2 linked regions of the Caenorhabditis elegans genome follow. The protein of the gene in region 1 purifies or fractionates together with the protein of each later gene. This does not show direct contact. Each region holds a gene or a part of one and is shown on either strand. Other genes may lie near its edges. The genes, in order: pkc-3 and Y57G11C.22.

Evidence for each region.
Region 2: the proteins of pkc-3 (region 1) and Y57G11C.22 purify together in Caenorhabditis elegans (affinity purification with western blotting, with the first as the bait; one study listed by BioGRID). This does not show direct contact.

What each region holds. Positions count from the first base shown.
Region 1 is NC_003280.10:5,376,728-5,387,793, forward strand, and holds pkc-3 (Protein kinase C-like 3), read left to right. Parts: upstream 1-3,299; 5' UTR 3,300-3,300; coding exon 3,301-3,366; intron 3,367-3,773; coding exon 3,774-4,032; intron 4,033-4,309; coding exon 4,310-4,394; intron 4,395-4,443; coding exon 4,444-4,570; intron 4,571-4,732; coding exon 4,733-4,909; intron 4,910-5,580; coding exon 5,581-5,832; intron 5,833-5,916; coding exon 5,917-6,275; intron 6,276-6,321; coding exon 6,322-6,664; intron 6,665-6,779; coding exon 6,780-6,905; 3' UTR 6,906-7,442; downstream 7,443-11,066. Other genes in the region: algn-2 (Alpha-1,3/1,6-mannosyltransferase ALG2), read left to right, coding at 1-259; Peroxiredoxin prdx-2, read left to right, coding at 1,696-1,713, 2,115-2,490, 2,555-2,766; ccpp-6 (Cytosolic carboxypeptidase 6), read right to left, coding at 7,477-7,649, 7,699-7,820, 8,201-8,325, 8,624-8,710, 8,989-9,100, 9,213-9,454, 9,508-9,721, 9,776-9,873 and 2 more; rsp-4 (putative splicing factor, arginine/serine-rich 4), read right to left, coding at 10,933-11,066.
Region 2 is NC_003282.8:14,832,531-14,841,962, forward strand, and holds the start of Y57G11C.22 (PRKCA-binding protein), read left to right. Parts: upstream 1-4,680; coding exon 4,681-4,686; intron 4,687-4,787; exon of another isoform or gene 4,788-4,809; intron 4,810-5,282; exon of another isoform or gene 5,283-5,303; intron 5,304-5,305; coding exon 5,306-5,399; intron 5,400-5,467; exon of another isoform or gene 5,468-5,489; intron 5,490-7,779; coding exon of another isoform or gene 7,780-8,196; intron 8,197-8,310; coding exon of another isoform or gene 8,311-8,849; intron 8,850-9,316; coding exon of another isoform or gene 9,317-9,432.

The sequences.
Region 1 (11,066 bases):
TCCAGTTGAAGCAATGTACTTGGGAACCCCAGTAATTGCTGTTAACACTGGAGGTCCCTGTGAATCGGTTCGGAATAATGAGACGGGATTTTTGGTTGATCAAACGGCCGAAGCGTTTGCTGAGAAAATGATTGATTTGATGAAAGATGAGGAAATGTATCGAAGAATGAGTGAGGAAGGTCCGAAATGGGTGCAAAAAGTGTTTGCATTTGAAGCATTTGCAAGAAAGCTCGACGAGATTATTCAATCTACGCTTTAATTAATGTTTTTTCTTGAAATTTGGGTTTTAAGCGTTTCGTTTTAGAATCGCCAGTGTATTTTTTGTGATAGTCCTATGTGCTTTAAATTATTTATTTTGAAAGGTTCAATAAATTATATTTTATGACCGAACACATTATATTCTCAGTTGTTATCTTATATATCCACACCGGAATGTTGAATATCTGACCATATATATTTAGAATGTTGCGGTAATTTTTTTGTTGCTGTGGAATTTTATTTTATTTTTATTTTTCATAGTTTCAACATTTTACAATTTATTGAAATTTATGGGTTTTAATTGTTATATTTGGCGTTTTTCGTTTACTTTTTCGATAAAAATAAATTCAGTTAAAAACTAAGTTATAACAATGAAAACACATAAATTTGAACAAATCGTAGAAAAATCACTACAAATTTGACAGATTTTATGGGTTCTATCGCGATTTATTGAAATTAACGTCTTTTAATTGTTTTATTTTAGTTTTTTAGATAAATACTGTTTTCAAACGAAAAACTTTGAAAAATCGATAAATCTCGCAGTACTCCTGAAAGGCACACACTCGTTTGTACTTAAGAAAAATTGTCGCGACGAGACCAACTGTCCAACTACGGTAGTTTTCAAAATACGCGGTTCACCGCAAAGTCAAATTGCGGACCTGAACATTTTTTTATTTTTCCCGCAAACTTTTTTTTTCAATTTTGCCTAAAGCGCTCGAATAAACATGAAAGTCTCGTGTTTCCTTCCATCCAGACCTCTCATTTTTCAATTTTAAAACTAAAAGCACTTTTTGACCTACTTTTTGTCGCAACCGCCAAAACTCGCTTCCAGAATTATTCCCTTTTTAGGATTTTCGACGCAACATCTCCAACCGGTTAGTTTTTTCGCAGATTTTCTCGCATTCGCGTAGTTTCACTTGTTTACTTCGTGGCGCCTCGTTTTTTTCCGCTCTCTCGTCTGACCACCTTCATATTTATTGATCTGCGCCTAGCGGCGCCCGTTGAAATACTCCACATTTTTTTGCAATCTTGTCTGCGAGTTCAGGTTATTTTCGACTTTTATGAAAGCTTGCTAGGAAGCCATAGCAACCGGGGAAGAATACGCTAGCCAAATGAGAGATAGAATCGATCAGCTAAATTTAAGATAAATAGTGAATTCGAATTCTAAGACCTGCTCGACCAGCTGAAATTCTAAAACTCTGCGCCAAGATGTATAGACAGGTAATAATATTTGAATTTTCTTTAAAAGTGACCTTGAACCCTAAGATTTTCGCTCCTCCTAAACGTTGTAGTCTGTTACTCCCTGCCGCGACAATTGTCAGCAAAAATCGCGTCACATGATGATGAAAGTTTGTGGCAATGTTATAAAAAGACTGACCTTATTTCGTTTCTTGGAAGATGCAAAGAAATGTTTATTAAAAATTGCAGTGTGAAATCATGTCTCTCGCTCCAAAGGTGCATTTCTTATTTGTTTTTTAAAAATATATTTGGTTACTTAGATATTAATTTAAATCACGGAAAAGTTTAAACCCCTCGATTTCTGTTATTTAACATGATCACTCACTTTTATAACAATTAATTTGGTTTTTCAAAGATGTTCCCAGAATGTTTTATTAGTTCTCATTTCGTCCTCCGATTTTTTTTCTTTCGTCGCTCTCCAATTTTGCCAATGTATTTCATTCCCATTAGATAAGCACCGCCCGTCACCTTATTCTCCTTCTTTTCACATTGCAAACAAATTCGTTGCCGTTGGGTTTCAATATCCTTTTCATTTTTTGTCGTATTGTTGTTCTTGTGATTGTGGTTGTTATTTTATCGCGGTATTATTTTTTTTTGTTAAACTAATTAATTTTTAGATGTCGAAAGCATTCATCGGAAAGCCAGCTCCACAATTCAAGACTCAAGCCGTCGTTGATGGCGAGTTCGTTGATGTTTCGCTCTCTGACTACAAGGGAAAATACGTTGTGCTCTTCTTCTACCCACTTGACTTCACTTTCGTGTGCCCAACCGAGATTATCGCCTTCTCTGACCGTGCTGAGGAGTTCAAGGCTATCAACACCGTTGTGCTCGCCGCTTCCACCGACTCTGTCTTCTCTCACTTGGCATGGATCAACCAGCCACGCAAGCACGGAGGACTCGGAGAGATGAACATTCCAGTTCTCGCTGACACCAACCACCAAATCTCCCGTGATTACGGAGTTCTCAAGGAGGACGAAGGAATTGCTTTCCGTGGTGAGTTATATTCTGAATGGAATCCTTCATATTTTCGTACTTTATTTGAAAAATAAAATTTCAGGACTCTTCATCATCGACCCATCACAAAACCTCCGTCAAATCACCATCAATGATCTTCCAGTCGGACGCTCTGTTGATGAGACTCTTCGTCTTGTTCAGGCCTTCCAGTTCGTCGAGAAGCACGGAGAGGTTTGCCCAGCTGGATGGACTCCAGGATCCGACACCATCAAGCCAGGAGTCAAAGAAAGCCAAGAGTACTTCAAGAAGCACTAAATGTCTTACATCTCTAATTTCCCCCGTATCCCTAGTATTTATCTGAACGGTTTATTTATACTCATTTTTCATTTTGATACTGAAATTCTGAAATTCATGAAATTGCTTGATAACCGTAAAATAAACTCGGTATTCGAATATAACTGTTTCTGTTCAGGAACAAACAATATGTGTCGAGACTCTCTCTCTGTTACTTTTTTGTCACTTTCCTAGACCGCCCGTGTTAGTCGGTGCGCGCGCATCGTCGTCCTGTACAGTGTTTGTGAGGGTCACCTGTGATTATTCATTTCTCTATGCCTCTTCAAAGCTGGGCCGCTCTCACTGACCTGTACACTTGGACAAAATGGGGGTGTTCGATAGAGCGTCAATGCATATATAGCTATAACAGTGTGTGTGTGTGTATGTGCATGTTTATTCATGAGTCATTTTTCCCTTTTTTACTCTAATACTGCCAACTCGTCACTGTTTCAGTTTCGCAGTTTTCGTTCAGAACTCCTTTTTTTGAACCGTTTTTAGTTCAATTTTTATTTCAGAATGTCGTCTCCGACATCATTAGAGGAGGACGGAGATATTAAGCTAAAAACGAGGTTTCAAGGACAGGTGAGATATGAAAAGTGGCTTTTGAAATGCTCAAAAATCGAGAAATACCCTAAAAATGAATTTTTCGTTGCAGTGAGAATGTGTAAATCATTTCGCCGTCAATGCGAAATTTTAGTTTGTCAAAGCTTTAAAAATTCGTAACAGAGAGAAAATTCCAGACAAAAAATAGAAAAAGACCGTGATAACCGAATAAAACTGTAAAAAATTAATTTTTCTGAACTTTTAATGATTTGATTAATAGTGTTTAAAACTTAAAAAGCTCTTTTCCGGCTAAAATTAAAAAAAAACAACCACTGATTTTTTAAAAATTCTGCAAAATTGAAAAATAATTTTTGTTACTGTATAACTTTTTTTTTTTAATCTGAAAAATTCCAGACTCCCAAATTTTAATAAAAATTAAATTCCAGGTAGTAGTACTCTATGCTCGACCACCGCTCATTCTCGATGACTTTTTTGCACTTTTGAAAGATGCTTGTAAACAACACAAAAAACAAGATATTACTGTAAAATGGATTGATGAAGATGGAGATCCAATCTCAATAGACTCACAAATGGAACTTGATGAAGCAGTTCGATGTTTGAATTCTAGTCAAGAAGCCGAGTTGAACATTCACGTTTTTGTTGGAAAACCAGAGCTGCCCGGGCTTCCGTGTCAAGGAGAAGACAGTAAGTATCATGAAGCTATCAGAAAAATTATTTAGAATTTCGAAAAAATGTGCGCCTTCAAAGAATACTGTAAAGCGGAATTTCTATCAATTTTTATAAAAAGATTGAAATGAAACAATTAGAAACACATAAATTTTGGAATTTTGGAAAATAGATCAAACTTCCGCAGTTTGAAACTACAGTAATCTTTAAAGGCACACAATTTCTCGCGTTTAACAAGAAATTTGTCGGAGGAAAAATCGGAAATTTTCGAGTCTGAGAAATGTTTTTTTTCCAGAAACTGTATATCGAAGAGGTGCTCGACGATGGAAGAAAATTTATCTGTACAATGGGCATCGATTCCAAGCGAAACGGCTGAATCGGTAGGTTTTTTTTTCTGATTTACAGCCTCCGGAGCTTCTTTCTTTTCAGCCGTATTCAATGCTTTATTTGTCATGACTACATATGGGGAATTGGACGGCAAGGCTTTCGATGTGTGGATTGTCGTTTATGCGTGCACAAAAAATGCCATCGGCATGTGCGAACGCATTGTGGTCAGGTAATTCTTTTTTTTTGTAGCGAGGATAGCTTCTAAATTATTCCAAAATTTTGAAACTAAGACCTCCCAGACTTCTGTTTTTCAATTTTTACAAATTTCTGTGCAAAACAGGTTTAAAGCTTAAATTTTTAAATTCCTCATAAAAATCTAAATCATTTTCAGGCTCTCCAAGGCCCGAATATTATCCCAATGGCTCCTGCAAGTGGTTCTCTAAAGGGTGCTCGATCGAATACAAGCTCATCTACAACGCGGTCGGGTGGAGGAATTGATAACGGAGCATTCCACGAGCACGAAATCGAATCACCCGGATCCACGAGTCATGATGCTAGCAGAGCTATGGTAAGCTTTTGAAGTTGGAGCCAAAATTTGAAATAAAATATATTTGAAATTTGATATAAATATCTTTGTCTTCACGTCTCCGAGGGATCGTAATAAATTTAATTTAATATTCAGAAAAGTTAATTTTTTTTGAAATTTATTAGTTTATTTCCAAAAAAACATAACTTTTATTTAAATAAAACCATCTGAAAAGTCTCAGATTTACAATAGCTGAAAATGAAATAACTCTTGTTAAAAAAAACAATTTAAATTGGAAAGTCTTTGAAATAGTGGTAGTTAATTGAAATATTTAATTAAGTTTAATCCAAAGTTCAATTAAATATTAGGTTCTTCCTGTTGCAATTTCAATTTCAAATTTCTAGATACGTGATATATGTAACTCTTGAAAAACATTCTAGATTTCTAGACTCAACTACATTTTTTTGTTTTTTTTTGGATGAACAAGTTTTTGTAGTTTCACTCTTTCTCTTGCTCTCAAAATTTTTATTCATTTCCAACCACAATTCCCTTCCTCGCTGCGAATTCTGATTTCTTCCTGATATCAAAATATTTTAATATTTCAACGTATGGCACTTTTCTGTCAGTGCTTCCCAGTATCAGATAAAAAGAAACGGCGAAAAGTATTTTTAAAGTTACATAGATTCAAATACTAAAATTTTTTAATATTTCAGAATGGAAATGGGTCGTCAAAATGGGCAGTTTCTCTGAACGATTTCCGTCTTTTAACAGTTATTGGACGTGGATCTTATGCAAAAGTTGTGCAAGCAGAACATGTTTCAACTCGTCAAATTTACGCGATAAAAATTATCAAAAAGGAGATGTTCAATGAAGATGAAGATATCGATTGGGTACAGACGGAGAAGTCAGTATTCGAAGCAGCGTCAAATTATCCATTCCTTGTTGGATTACATTCTTGCTTCCAGGTTGGTAACTTTCTTTTTCTTCGATTTTTTCAAATCTCAAATTTTCGCATTAAAAATTTTAAACCAAAATTTTGATAATTTCAGACCGAATCCCGCCTGTTCTTTGTCATCGAATTCGTTCCTGGAGGTGATCTGATGTTCCACATGCAACAGCAACGGAAGCTTCCAGAAGAGCACGCTCGATTCTATTCGGGTGAAATAATTCTTGCTCTTCATTTCCTTCATTCTCGCGGAATCATTTATCGTGATCTCAAATTGGACAATGTTCTGATTGACGCTGAAGGACACATAAAACTGACAGATTATGGAATGTGTAAAGAGAATATTAAGGATGGAGATTTAACTTCAACTTTCTGTGGAACACCCAATTATATTGCACCAGAAATATTGAGAGGTGATGAATATGGATTCAGTGTTGATTGGTGGGCATTGGGAGTGTTAATGTAAGCCTTTTTTGGTTGAACATTTATTTTATTTAAATCGTTTTAGGTTTGAAATGATGGCTGGTCGATCTCCATTCGATATTGTTGGAATGCAGAATTCCGAGGAAAATACAGAAGATTATCTTTTCCAAATCATTCTTGAACGACAGATTCGAATCCCTAGATCACTTTCTGTACGGGCTTCTGGTATTCTAAAGGGATTCCTGAACAAGGATCCAACAGAACGTCTGGGATGTAAGCTTGACATTAATGAAGGTCTTCGTGATATGAAAGAACATCAATTCTTCCGTGGATTCATTGATTGGGAAGCTTTGGAACAGAAGGCTGTCGCACCTCCATATCATCCAGCTGTGGAAAGTGATCGCGATTTGACACACTTTGATCATCAGGTAATTTTAATTTCTTCAGAACTTAACTTTAAAAAAAAATTAGTTTTTGTTTACTAATAAATTATTGAATCAAAATATTTTAAAACTAATTCAAAATGCTTGTTTTTTTTTTCAGTTCACCGACGAACTTCCACAATTATCACCTGACAATCCAGATGTTATTGCACGAATTGATCAATCAGAATTTGATGGATTTGAATACGTGAATCCTCTACAAATGAGTCGGGAAGATTCAGTCTGATTCCCCCACCATCCCCCGAGTCCCAAATATTTATTTTCTTCGGTATACTTTTTTGTGATTTTTATTATTATTCTCGAATCCCATCTCCTTCGCCCACTGTCTTATACGATACTATGACACACTAACTCGTGGCATAATCAGTATCCTAACTTATTTTCTTTTTCTCAACATCTGTTATACATTTTCTCGCAACAATCACTTCTACTCGTCTTGTGGTATCTTACAATCCCGAAAAGGTTGTGATTTTTTTTGGTTTCTGTTAAAATCTAGACTATTCATACTTGCTAGGAATACCTAATGCTTGATGACCTCCCCTTCTAAATACACCTTCTTGTTACTTTTCTTGTCAGCTCATTCATTTCCCTGAAATATATGTAAAATTGCGGCGAAGACTACGATCAATGTAGTCTCTTCGCCATCTGACACTTCTTTTGTGCCACGTGTGGAACTCGATTTAACTTCAATTCAATTTACATGTTCTTCCATTTGACCACTTCCCTTACTTATTTATTGACAAACAAAAAAAAATTGCATTTCAATGGTCTTTATCAGTTCTAATGTGGGCGCCAATTCATTTCATCATCACAGTCTGAATCACCTTCCTCGCTTGCTTTTTCAAAGTTTTCTGGGCGCGGGCGGGTAGAAAAGTCTTAAAGGGACGTTCGAGCACAATCTCTCGTAGTCCACAGTCGGCTTCATAGAAGTTGAGAAGTGCTCTGCAAAATGCCTCGCCGAGAGCTTCATCTGAAAATTGAACCAAGTTACAGTAGGAAATCACTGAAAAAAAACCTACATTTATATTGAAGATATGGCGTACAATGTTGTATTCCATTTCCAGAAGAGTCTGTATGGCGATAAGAGAAGAATGATACTTCAAGTGTATAGCAAAGGCAGGAAAGTAGATCTCCCATCGTTCTGAAAAGTTATGAAGGGTCCTGACACGACTGGCATTTTTCTGCTACAGTAACCCAGCGTGTTTTTCTCAACTCCGTGTTTCCCAATGTATTCATTTTGAAAATATGCATATATTTTCTAGAAACATCATTATAAAACCACACAAAATATTGAGAAAATGTTGCAAAATAGAGATTGAAAGTAAAAGGTACTGTTGCTGGAAATGTTCACTCACGCCAGGACCCACAGTCGTGTTTTTGCACGCAGATACTACGGATGACCATGTGAGAAATTACTAGCTATTGCAAAATTCATATCGTGGCAAGACCCATCAAATTAAAATCACGACTATTCGAAATCCATAATAAATTATTCGTTCCCTTCCATATAAAAAATCTCACCTTCTGCCAGTACCAGCCTTCTCCACATCCGTGTTGAATTGAGTGAACTCGAGCGAATAATCTTCGGAAAGATCTGCCAGCAAATGCGGAAGCCATAACTGCCGGAAAGTCGATTTTTCTTCGACCGAAAATTAGAAAAAAATGTTTCAGAAAATTTAAATTTTGTGGTCATTGCAAAGTTGAGCGAAACTATGAAAAGATTAGGGTTTAAAATTGTGAAATGCTGTAGATAACTGCTAAGTTTCGGTAGTATCAAGACCGGGTACTTTGTTTAAAATCGCTAAGTTCTTCAATCGGCTAATATCGGGTCTCGCCACGGACAAAATATTTTCAATAGTTGCTGTACCCCTTCAAGAAATACAGTAACTCATAACTGATTCTTGAAGTTGCCCGAACCAATTCACAAAAAAATTCACAACTTACAGCTGACATATTCACATTTCCATACAAAAAACAATTTGGCTTCTGAGAATGGGCATGTAGATCAACGTAGATTACAGTTTGGGCTTGCTGAAATATTCAAGAACAGATCCTAAAACTTCTACAAATTATTGATTCATTTATTCCTAAAATTGACACATAACAGTGAGCATGGCAACTTTCCCACAATGTTTCAATTTAACCATAGTCTACAGTAATCTAGGATTTTGATCGCTTCGAGATACAGTCAACTTGAATGTATCATGGGAATTGCAAAAAAAAATTGATGAAAATGCTCAAAAGTCCTACAAAACACTGAATATGTATATCGATAAATTCCCAATATCGATAAATTTAACAGCTCTCACCGGATTATTATCATATTGCGTCAGTAAATTCTTCACAGCATAAATTGAAGGATGAGCCCAATCTGAAGGGGTTCTCCACATTCTATTCAAGTCATGACCCATTAGAGAACATCTGAAATGACCTTCTGATAAGGTAGGCACTGTAGGTAGGTACGCCTTTATGCCTGGGCCGAGAGGTTGTTGGTGACGAGGAATGCCTACCTAGGCTGTTTGCAAAAAGTTACCTATAATTTCCGAGAAAAACGCCATCTGGATTAAGCATTGGAATAATTTTGAAACAATAAACTTTTCTCAACTTCTGTGCTCGATCATCTTTGGAAACAAGAAATTCAATAATTCCATGCATAACATGACTACTCGGTGACTCTCCAGGATGAACTCGCGCAGTTAGAAAAATCATTTTCTTGGATCCTTGGAATGTGTCAGGTGTTGCATCAATTGTTATCAAGTCGACACGACGTTTTTGCTGAATTATTTTCCAAAAAGTTTCAGACTATTCCATGAATATTTCCAATTTACCACAGTTTGAACCAAAAGATCTCTATGAAAAAATGGGTATTTTCTGGATTCCAACTCATTCAACCATATCTGCATTTGTCCATAAGTATACGGTATACAGTATGCAAATTGAACAGGATCTGGTGATTCAAATATGAAAGCAAATGAAAGAATCCAACGATCATTGTGTTGGGAACTACGGTAGTAGTAGATATGGCGAGATGGGATTCGAGCCCTAAAATGTTGAAATGGCTCTTTAAAATAGAAAATCGAGGGGTTTTCATCATACCAACTATTTTGAGCATTTGATTTGACTACAGGTGCTGCAATTCCCATTTCGAATAGTGTTCTTTGTTTTGAAAAGTTCACAATATTGAAGATCGCCCGCTGAAGAATTTGCAAATTTGATAATAAAATTTTAAAGTTTAAACTGCATAATTACACTAATTTTCAAATAGTACCCAGTCAAAAAGGTGTGCGCCTTCAATCAATACAGTAACCGCCGGTAACTTTCAAAACGAGGAATGGGTTACTGTATTCTTAAAGGCACACACCTTTTAGCGCGGAAAATAGAGTACTGTAGCTAGGAAAAAAGTTGTCTCAAAATGTTCTCCCCGAAAATAAAGAACATATTTAGGTATACTGGAAAATTCGTAAATATTTCAGAACCATGGCCATTGCAGAAAAAAACTGAAAACCTACAGTAACCCGTAGGGTATTGAATTTTTTTAAAAATCGCTGCGAGACCCGACGTTTCCGCCTCAGATCCAGTTTTCGAATATCAATAATAAATACAAATTCTTCAAACATTTACCTGATTTTCAGATGCATTTTTGCATTCAAAATAGAACCAAACTCTATATTTATTATTCAAAGTGTCAGGTCGAATGAATAAATCATATTCTGAACAGGAAACTTTGTCGACTCGTCCCAAATTTCCTTAAAATTTAAACTTTTTAAATATTCAAAAAATAATAATATAATTACTTCCTTGTTTGTCTATAATTGAATTTAAAACTAACCAGATTCAAAACTTGCTTCAAAAACCAAATTTCCCTGACCAGGAATTGTATCAGGATAGCTGACATTTCCAACATAGCCCATATTGAAAATGAAATTTTGTTTTTTTGAAAACCAGACCTGAGCTCCGACACCGGAAGCCGGAAGTGTGGTTGGGTGAACATTTCTAACTGCTTTGACACTTGAGCCAATTTATTCAAGAGAAAAAAGTTTGGAACAATATTGACGGACAGAATTTCGATTTATTTTAACAGTTCTCTTGGAGAAATTAGATGGAAAATTGGAAATCATATATATTACTTGTCTTGTTGGAGGCAACTGGAAAAAAAAGACGTTTGAAATTTCAGGATCAGTGAGTAAATCATAGTAAAAACGAAAACGAAAACGAAAAATAATCAGAAATCGAAGAGGAAATTTTTTCGGAATTTAGCGGGAGTTGGAACGGCTACGACTTGGCGAACGAGATGCCGAGCGGCTTCTGGAACGGCGTTCCTTTGGAGATCCATCCTCACGTGGTGGCGGTGAACGAGATCGGGAACGAGAGTTGTCACGACGATCCG
Region 2 (9,432 bases), on another chromosome or scaffold:
CTATTATAAAAACCGGGAAAGTTCAAAATTTTTTTTGAAAATAAAATTGTGGGAGGAGAGTGAATAAGAAACAAATAAAAAACAAAAACCATGTAGTCGTTTGAAATTTGAAAAACTTATGGAAAACTCTCTTTAATTTAACTGCTAGATACCAGGAAAAAAACATTCAATTAATTGCTTCAAACCAGTTATGCTAAAGTAAAAATTAGAAACAGTAAACAATTTGATTATTATAAAACTTAAAAAAAAAACTTTTTTTGTAGTAATTCACAAATTAAAAAACGCAAAACTGATGTTTCCCCCATAATTTCATGTTCAAAAAAAATTGAACGTTCCCGGGTTTTCCCCCAAACAATACAAAAATATAGAGATTTTTTGACAGTATTTTACAAATATGTGAATCTAGTCCTAGCCTGAATTTTTTGTGTCATTTGAAGTCGACAAATCATTTAAATACTTTCTCATCAATATTTGTCGACACTCTGAAACATAAGATTTTTTTTTTTCAATTTTCTTGTGCAATAATTTTTATTCAACATGTTCTAGTAGTATGGAGTGAGTAATCACTTTTTTTTTGGATTTTCCTTTAACATAATATTGCAACAGTAATATTTTTTAAATTATATTAAAAAATTAGAATTTATTGATATATCCTAAAATTAATTATTTAAATTTTTTCAAAACTGTCCAATTTTTAATGTTTTATTTTTCTGAATATACGGCATACTTGAAACAGAGGTTTAGAATAAATGTAAATTTTTTATTTACTGTTCTAGTGAAAAAAGAGACAAAAAAGTTTTTATCGCTCACACTATTAGCAAATCCTTTAAAAATTTTAAAGTGTGCTTCAATATTGTAATATAAACCAATATTTTTTCTTATTTTGATTCCTTCCGTTATGGGTCGAATTTCACTAGAAACAAAAAAAAATTAAAAAGTTCTCAAAACCATTGGTTTCTCGGAAAAGATTTCTCCAATAAAGCTATAACAAATTCACTAATACAATATTAACAAGAAATACAAATCTAAAAAGTCGTAAAAAAGACATAAAACCGAACATTTCGACATGTTTGCTCTTTCTCTATTCCTCTTAGAACTGTGTGAATCGAGTGAGGGAAAATAGAGGAGAACTTGTCCGCAAAGCAGTGGTCGTACTTGTCAAAAGAGGGGGACACACTCACTCTTTTCAATTCACAACTACAATGACCTTCACCACGGTGACCGAGCATGAAAATGACCCGTAGAGAGGGGGAAAAGAGAAAGGGAACGGAAGAATTATGCAAAGGAATTGGAATGAGGGGCAGGACTAAACATAATTCTTATGTTTCAAATATACTAAGGTGGTGAAACAGTAAAATTTTTTTTAAAAAAATGTATTGAAAATTGAGGTTCCCATGACAGGCACCTTTTTCTATTCATACAAATAGAAAAAGGTACAAGATCCATTAAAAAGATTCGCTTCAACTTAAAAAAAACAATTGGTTTGAATTTGTTAACAATTTGAAAGTGAAGAATTTTCATCTAGCAATTATGTACAGACAAAAATACAATTTGAAGGGATTTTGCGAAAACGCGAAAAATATTTGATGGCTCAGTTTTGTCATTTGTATGGAAAATTAAAAAAAAGCTCAATGTAAATCAATGCGAAGTTTTTGAAGATGGAAAAAAATCAAAGCGAATAAAAATTTTGGCATCTCTATTTGTGAACTTTGTGTAAGGGTTAAAATATTTTGAGAGTTTTCTGGAATTAAAAAGAAAACTCGCAGAACTTTTTTTTTTAATTTAAAAATTTACTCAAAAAATGTACAGTTTCTGTGAAAATTACACATTTTTTTTGTGAAAACAAGTTCAGTTTTCCTTAAAATAATTAAAAACCAAATCCCATAATAATTAAATGTAATAATAATGTTTCAAATATATATATAAAAAATGAAACAGTAAAATTTTTTGAACATTGCCGAAAAAAAACTGAGTTGAAAATTGATTTTCACATATTAGGCAGGCGCGAAAGATGCCTACGTACTTGCCTACCTACCAATTTATTTAATTTATTTCTGAACTGCAGTATTTTGCGTTAGATTTACTCATTTGTAGTGTGGAGTTTGAAAAAAAGAACCTAAAAAAATGAAAAATTTAACTGTCATCAGAACGAAAAAATTGAATTTGTTGGAGTTTGTTAAAACTATCAAGCTGAAGAATTTTTTTGCTAATAAATTTTAAAAAACTATTTTTAATTGAAAATGGAAGTATTTTTATTGTAGTCAATATAATGCTGAGAACAATTTGAAATTTTCTGGTGCCAATATAAAAACTCAATGAGCTTGTAAGAGTTCAAAATTTCCTGAAAAATTTACTAGTATGGTTCCGAATGATTGGTTAGATTTTTTCACAATCTTCGTGCTTCCTGGCCGTTTTTTTAAGAAGTGAGGGAAATTTTGATGACTCAGTTTTGTAACTTTTAGAGGAAATTGTTCATTTTTTTGCTTTGATGCTCAAATCTAAAATAATCCGAAAATTATTAAAAACAAAAAATGAGAACTCAGGAGCTATTAAAAGTTATTTGCACATTTTTTTATGAACTTTGTGAATGTGTAAAAGTTTCGATATTTTTTTTTTGGAATTGAAAAATAATCGGAGAATCACAATTTGCAAACTTTAATATATTTTTTAATAATATGTTTTCCACTATAGACTCTGTGAAACATTAGAGAATTTTTAGTGAAAATAATGATCAGTTTCAATAAGTTCTTAATCTCATTGAGATGAATTTTATTGATCTTTTAGAATACTGTGGAAATGTAGCTTATAATAAGTCTAGTTCAATAAGAATGAAGCCTTATTATAAGCTACATTTTCGTGTAGAAATTTTAAAAATGTTTAATATTCATATTTGAATTTGTTAAAATATGTGTTTCAAATTAAATATCCGTAATTTGGAGGGTTTTCAATGACGTTTTTCGACATTTTTGCCGGTTAACTCCAGCCATTTTGTTTTTTGTGCGAAGTAAGGAAAACTTTCATTTCGATTCAATAGAATTAAATTCCGACAATGTTATTTTTTTGTTTCAGTCAATTTGATTCGGTTTTTGTCAAAGTGTTACAATTTGCAGTTTTTATTTTGTTTTTTTTCAATTAGGCATATGCTTTGTCCAGTATAACTCCTGTGAAACATTTGTGAATTTGTAGAAAAAATAATGTCCCGTTTCAATAAGTTTTCAAAGGTATCTCTTCGAGATGAATTTTATTATTCCGCTAGGAATCAGTGGATATGTAGCCCATAATAATTCTGTCAACTTTAATTCCAATTCAGTTATTGTCAAAATATTAATTGCAGACAATTTTGTTATGCTTTCGGTTTAATACTATTTTGGTTCTTAAATCGAACAACTTTGGTTTTCCAACTTCATATAACAATTTAGAGATTTTTTTTTCTGAAAACTAAGAAAAAGTTACACATTTCCTATTTTCAAGTTATTTTTTCAGTTATTTTCACTAACTAGTTAACTGATCACAAAAAACTTTGTGGAAAATATTCAAAACCTTAGTGACAATAATGTTCTGTTTCACGAAGTCCTTAAAAGTATCTTGTAACGGTGAACTTTAGTTCAAAGTTTCTCTGTTTGCGGCAATATATAAATTTCAAGAAATTTTACTATGTTTCTAGCTCAACACATTTTCAGAGTCTATAAAAAATGAAAACATTTTATTAATTTTTTTCCTGTTTCAGTGAGTTTTTAAAAAAAATTACCTTCTGTAGTTTCTAATCGGTTCCATGCTGCAATTTTAACCTCAACTTTGGAAAACTGGTATTAGTGTAGATTTACAAAGTTCTCGTTTTTTTTAAATTTTGGTTTAAAAAACGGGAGTTTTCCTGGAATTTACAAGGAAAATTGCAGAATCTGAATTCATTGAGATTTTTTTTACACTTACGCCGAAAATGTATAAACTCTGTGAAAAGGTTGCGAATTTTTAGTGAAAATATTGTTCTGTTTCAACAAGTTTTTAAAAGCATCTCGCAAAAAATTAATGTAGTTAATGAGCGTTAAATATGTATATCGTATTCCCTTTATCAATTTGTATTCCTGCGACAAATTTCCGTCAAAGAGAAATTTGTCTAGTTGGTAGTTTGTAGGATATAGTTTGTAACTGAAAATTTTAATTGCAGTTCAGTCTTTTGCCAAATATAAATTTAGTTATGTTTCTGGTTTAATACAATCTCAGAATCTCAGTGAAAAATAGTTCATCAATTTGTTTTTTCTCTGTTTCAGCAAGGAGTTTTAAATCCAGGCATTTCTTCTGTAGTTGATAATTTTTTTGAAGATTTACGAAATTTTCGTTTTCATTAGTGGTCGCTTTTTAGACATGCAGACATTTTGAGGATTCATGCACGGCCTACAATATATTTTCTCAAGCTTCCCAAGGCCTCTCTTGTCGTCTTAAATTCTGCCACTAACCCCATTTTGAATCAAATGCACATTGAGCTCATCTTCCATGCATCTCCTCCCTTCTCCTCTCATTCTCCATTTTCAGTGTGCATGATTGTCTGCGTCTCCCGCTTCTCTACACTCTCTCGTAGTCTCTACATCTCTCCGTCTCTGTGCTCTTTTTGCTCGTGAAGCTTTTAGTACTGCTAGAAGGAGTGAAGGAGTGACAATCGATTTTAAAGCAGAAAAATTAATTATGGATGTAAGTATTTTTTTTCAATTGTTTGTGTAGTTTGAAATTGAGCTAAAAAAACTGGAATGTTTCATGTTTTTATTAAAAAAGAACAATAAAAATCATAACTATTATAGTTACCATCAGAGGTGGGCGGATATTTTTTTCTGATATTTTCTAATAATGAATTTATCAATAAGTATTGATGTAGTTATTCTGGAAGAAATGTATCCGAACAAAAGAGTAACTATTAAGAAACATTTTAATATGATAAAACCTAGAAAAATTCTACAAGTTTTCTGTATAAACGATATGCAAGTCCATTATCCGATATCCGTAATATCCGTAATATCCGATATCCGATGTTGCTCGGCTAATAAGTTTTAAGGTCTCGGTAAGGAAAACTTGTAGAATTTTTCTAGGTTTTATCATATTAAAATGTTGCTTAATAGTTACTCTTTGGTTTGGATACATTTCTTCCAGAATAACTACATCAATACTTATTGATAAATTCATTATTAGAAAATATCCGAAAAAATATCCGCCCACCTCTGGTTACCATAATCGTGAAAAAACTTACTGTTTCACTTTCTAACAAATAATTTGTAGGTTTTCAAATTAATTATTGTTTTTTAACCATATTTTACAGTTCCAAATCGAAGAAGACCGGCTCGGAATGAGAATTCAATCGGAGACAATTGAGTTGACTAAAGATGAAAAAGGTGTCGTCGGAATTTCAATTGGTTTGTTCATTTTTTTCTCTGATGCTTGTATATAAATGGAAACCAACTCAAAATAATTTTTTAATAATAACTCGATAATGTTTAAGTGAATAGTTTGGTTTTTGAAACACTTCATTTAAAAACTACTAGAAACAGAAAAAAATGAAAAAAAAATGTTTTTCAAACAATTTGAAATATTACGCTAGTAGTGGTAGAGTGTACAATTTACCATTCCTTGGTTTTTTTTTACCGTCTGACCAAGAATAGTGTGTGAAACGAGAGATTTAGAGAAAGACGAGAGAGTGAGAGATTTGGTTATAGTAAGAAAGAATCGATTTTTAAATAGTGTGCGTTTTTGAGAGATTTAGAGAAAGAGACTGGTAAGACATTTTTGATGTTCTTGGTTCATTCAACCAGGGGACGGGTTCGAACCCAGGACACTATTCGTCTAAAACAGATGCCATACCAATACACTATAGACGTAGTCGCAAACCCAGTAGCATTTGACTCTTTTCTATTTCGAAACATCTGCCGTTTAGGAGACGTCTTTTTCCCAAACGCGATTTGAATGAATGCAAGCGTTACCGAGATTGATGAAGGAAGGAGGCCCCCCTCCCCGCGCCCCTGGGGGTTTCAAGAGTAAAAGTTGATGAACAAGTTTTTTCAATTTACCTGTGCTTTTGAAAAATGATGCATTCAAAGCTATTTGAAGTTTTTCGATAAAGGGTTCTCCACCCGTTATCGAAAACTTTAAAGAGCATTCCCTACAAAAAACATGTTTTACATTTTTTATTATTTATTCAATTACAGATAAGGATAAGTATTAGTGTTACATGCATTACTAACAATTCAAACATTATTATACAATCAATCAAATTTTATAATTTCCAATATTCTTTCGGCATTTCTTACAAACGTCAATTTTCAAAGTTGACCCATCATATTGTGCACCGTCCTGACAATCTGAACAAAACAGGATAGCGGCAAGTGGTTCCATTTTTCGTAAAGCAAACTGGGGTTCCGTTGTCTTGGCAGCCGTGTGTGTCGTTTTAAAAGTTTTCACATTTTTCTTTCCCTTCTTCTCCGACATAGGAATATCAGAAACATTTGATGGCAAAAACTCTGGTTCCTGAGACGAGTTTTGAAGAGTTTCAAAATTCCAAAAGACGTTCGCAGGTGAAGGATCAGGATAAGAAAAGTTTGAGAATGAGGACATTATCAAAAAAAGTCACTACGTACAACAAAAAATTGAGCACAAATGAAGATTGAATTCAGAAAAGTGGGCGGCTCTTGAAATTGGCATGGACAAATCATAAAGTTAATACTCCTGATGCATCAATCCAAGAGTCAAATTCGGCACCATATCCGTCCCAACGAACGAGGTGCTGTTTCTTTCCGCGTACTGTACGAGTGGCTAAAATCTTTTCAATTCGATACTGAGCGTCTGGTTTATATGTGCATTTAGTCAGTTCTCGAGTGTAGAATATTCCGGCAATTTTTTCTCCATTAGTGTCTACTATATTGTAGGTAACTGGTTTCCTTGCAAACACTTTGGAAATTACATAAACTTCTGTAGTCCATCCTTGTTCGTAGCCCTTGTCAAATTGTCCTCGTTTTGCAGCGATTCTGACGTGATCTCCTACTCTGAATTTGATTTTAACGCTGTCTACAGGCATCGGAGTTGAAAAATCTCCCCGCTCAACGTCTACTGGTTTTTTACCAATTCCACGATTAACGCTATTGTTGATACCATTCACAACTTGTTGTAAAACGTCCACATAACGTCGGTTGTACTTTTGAGTCATGTACTTTGCCAATCGAGTTTTCAGAGTCCTGTTTGCCCTCTCCACAATTGCACACTTTATTTCGCTTTTGGGTGAAAATAGATTCACAAAATTCTTGGCCAACAACTCTTTGACATGCGAGTTGTAAAATTCCTTTCCATCATCACTGTAAATTGTCATTGGTGTGACACCAATTTCTTTAAAAATGTCTTGTAGAGCTAGAGCCACTTCTTGTCCTTTTTTAGACTTTAACGTTTTTACAAAAAGCCGTCGAGAGTAAATATCTATACAGACTAGTAGAAAGGTTACTCCGTCGTTTTCCTTCTTGTACCGGGACATATCTGCGAGATCAATTTGAAGAGATGCATAAAGACCAGGTGAGACTGTTTTCCGACGCGGGAATCGCGATTGATTCGGGCGGTGAAGCGTAAAAGATTCCAAATCTTCGAGAACCTTTTCGACTTGTTCATACTTTAACGACTTGTATTTTGGCTTCAAATATTTGTAAACGTTTTTTACAGATGAATAGGCGCAAGGTAGTTTTTCGTCTGTATATGCTTCTTTTATGGCAGACTTCATAATAAAAATTTTAAAAATACAACATTTATATACAGATTTTAAAATTTCCATAATCTACAATAAACTCGTGAACCTGGAGGTGGAGCTGAACCAGATCCGTGAAGAACGCGCCTTTTGGCAGCAGGGATATTTGTACCATTATCTGGGATGGTTGAAGAAATGTTGCGTTTCAAGTTTTGCATCTTATAAATTTTGTTTGGCCTCACTCTACTCATATTCTTTCTTCTTTTCAAATCAAATTTCTGCCTCTTGTTTAAGTTTTTTGTGGAATCCTGTTGAAATGGTCTTTTTTTAATGGAAATCTCAGTGTTTTGTGGCGTCTCATCAACCATCGGCTCTTCATCTTCATCTTCCTCATCCAGCTGCAATTTATAAAGTTTTCGCGGTTTCACGTTATTCATGCTCTTTCCTCTCTTGAGATCAAACTTTTGCCTCTTGTTTGAAGTGGCGTATTGCTGAAACGATCGTTTTTTAATTGAAACTGGTGTAATTTCCACAGTTTTTTCCTCAGGTTTCCTCGGTGGAGCGGCTTGCATATCTTGATCGGGTTCTTCAATCTTCACTTTCACCACACTCTTCTTTTCCTTTTTACCCAAAGGTCTACTGAGAGTTCCGTCTTTCTTTTGTTTCTTGGACTTTTTTATTTTTCCGGGTGCATGTTTTTGGGGTTCCATAAAAAGTTCATTTACATTTTGCTCCATATTTATTTCTGGAATTTTTTCGTATTCCATATGATAATCCTCATCCTCGGGCTCTTCTTTGATGTAAACGTTTTTGCGGGGCTTTAAATGATTTATTCCATCATTGTGGTACGTCACGTCATCAAACAATTGTTCATTTTCCGCTTTATAAACAGGAGGACTTTCATAATATTTTTCTTGATATGATTCTCTCTTTTCAGGAATGACTTCATATTTTAAATTACGTCTCTCTAGCTTCACATTTCTTTTTTGATTGTCATTCTGTTGTTGTAAATTTTCTTGAATAACATCAAATAATTCTTCAGTGACAATTGGTAGTTCAGGGTGGTTACGAATTCGATATAGTACATCTTGATAAAAACGGCATTTTGTAGTTGGATCAACATCTGATGCGGATAGGATATTTTCTAAAAAACGTTTGGCAGATTCATATTCAGACCCATTCTCGTAGGGTATCATGTGATATTTGCGAATCAACTTCATTTCCAGAGATTTGTCGCAATAAGTGAAGGAATAACAAGCGTAGCCAATTGCTTTTTTGAAAGCTTAAATAGTAATTTCCTTGCATTGTTGACATCATTGGTACGTGAAATGGTAATTAGTTGATCGTGTATCGGCTGCAAAATTTGATATTCTGCCAGATTTAATGGTATATTTTTTTGAATTTAACATGTTGTACACAATTTCAACTAGAATATTTATTTCTTTGCTCGAAGCATCTCGAATAGCAATACGATTACGTTTCAAAACAGAATGCAAGAAATCAGTGTGAACAATTAAATGGGCAGCCATTTGTTAGCAAAAGATCAAAATACAATCATTTATATAGGCACATGTGCTATCGGGTATTCGTTTGTAAAGTTTGATAAAATACGCATAGTAGGGAGAGATAGGGGATCATTATTAATTAACAGGGCCTGATATGGTTTCGACATTACATCCTGGTATGCTTCGAAGGCTCCTCTCCATTTGTCTCCAAATTGCTGCATT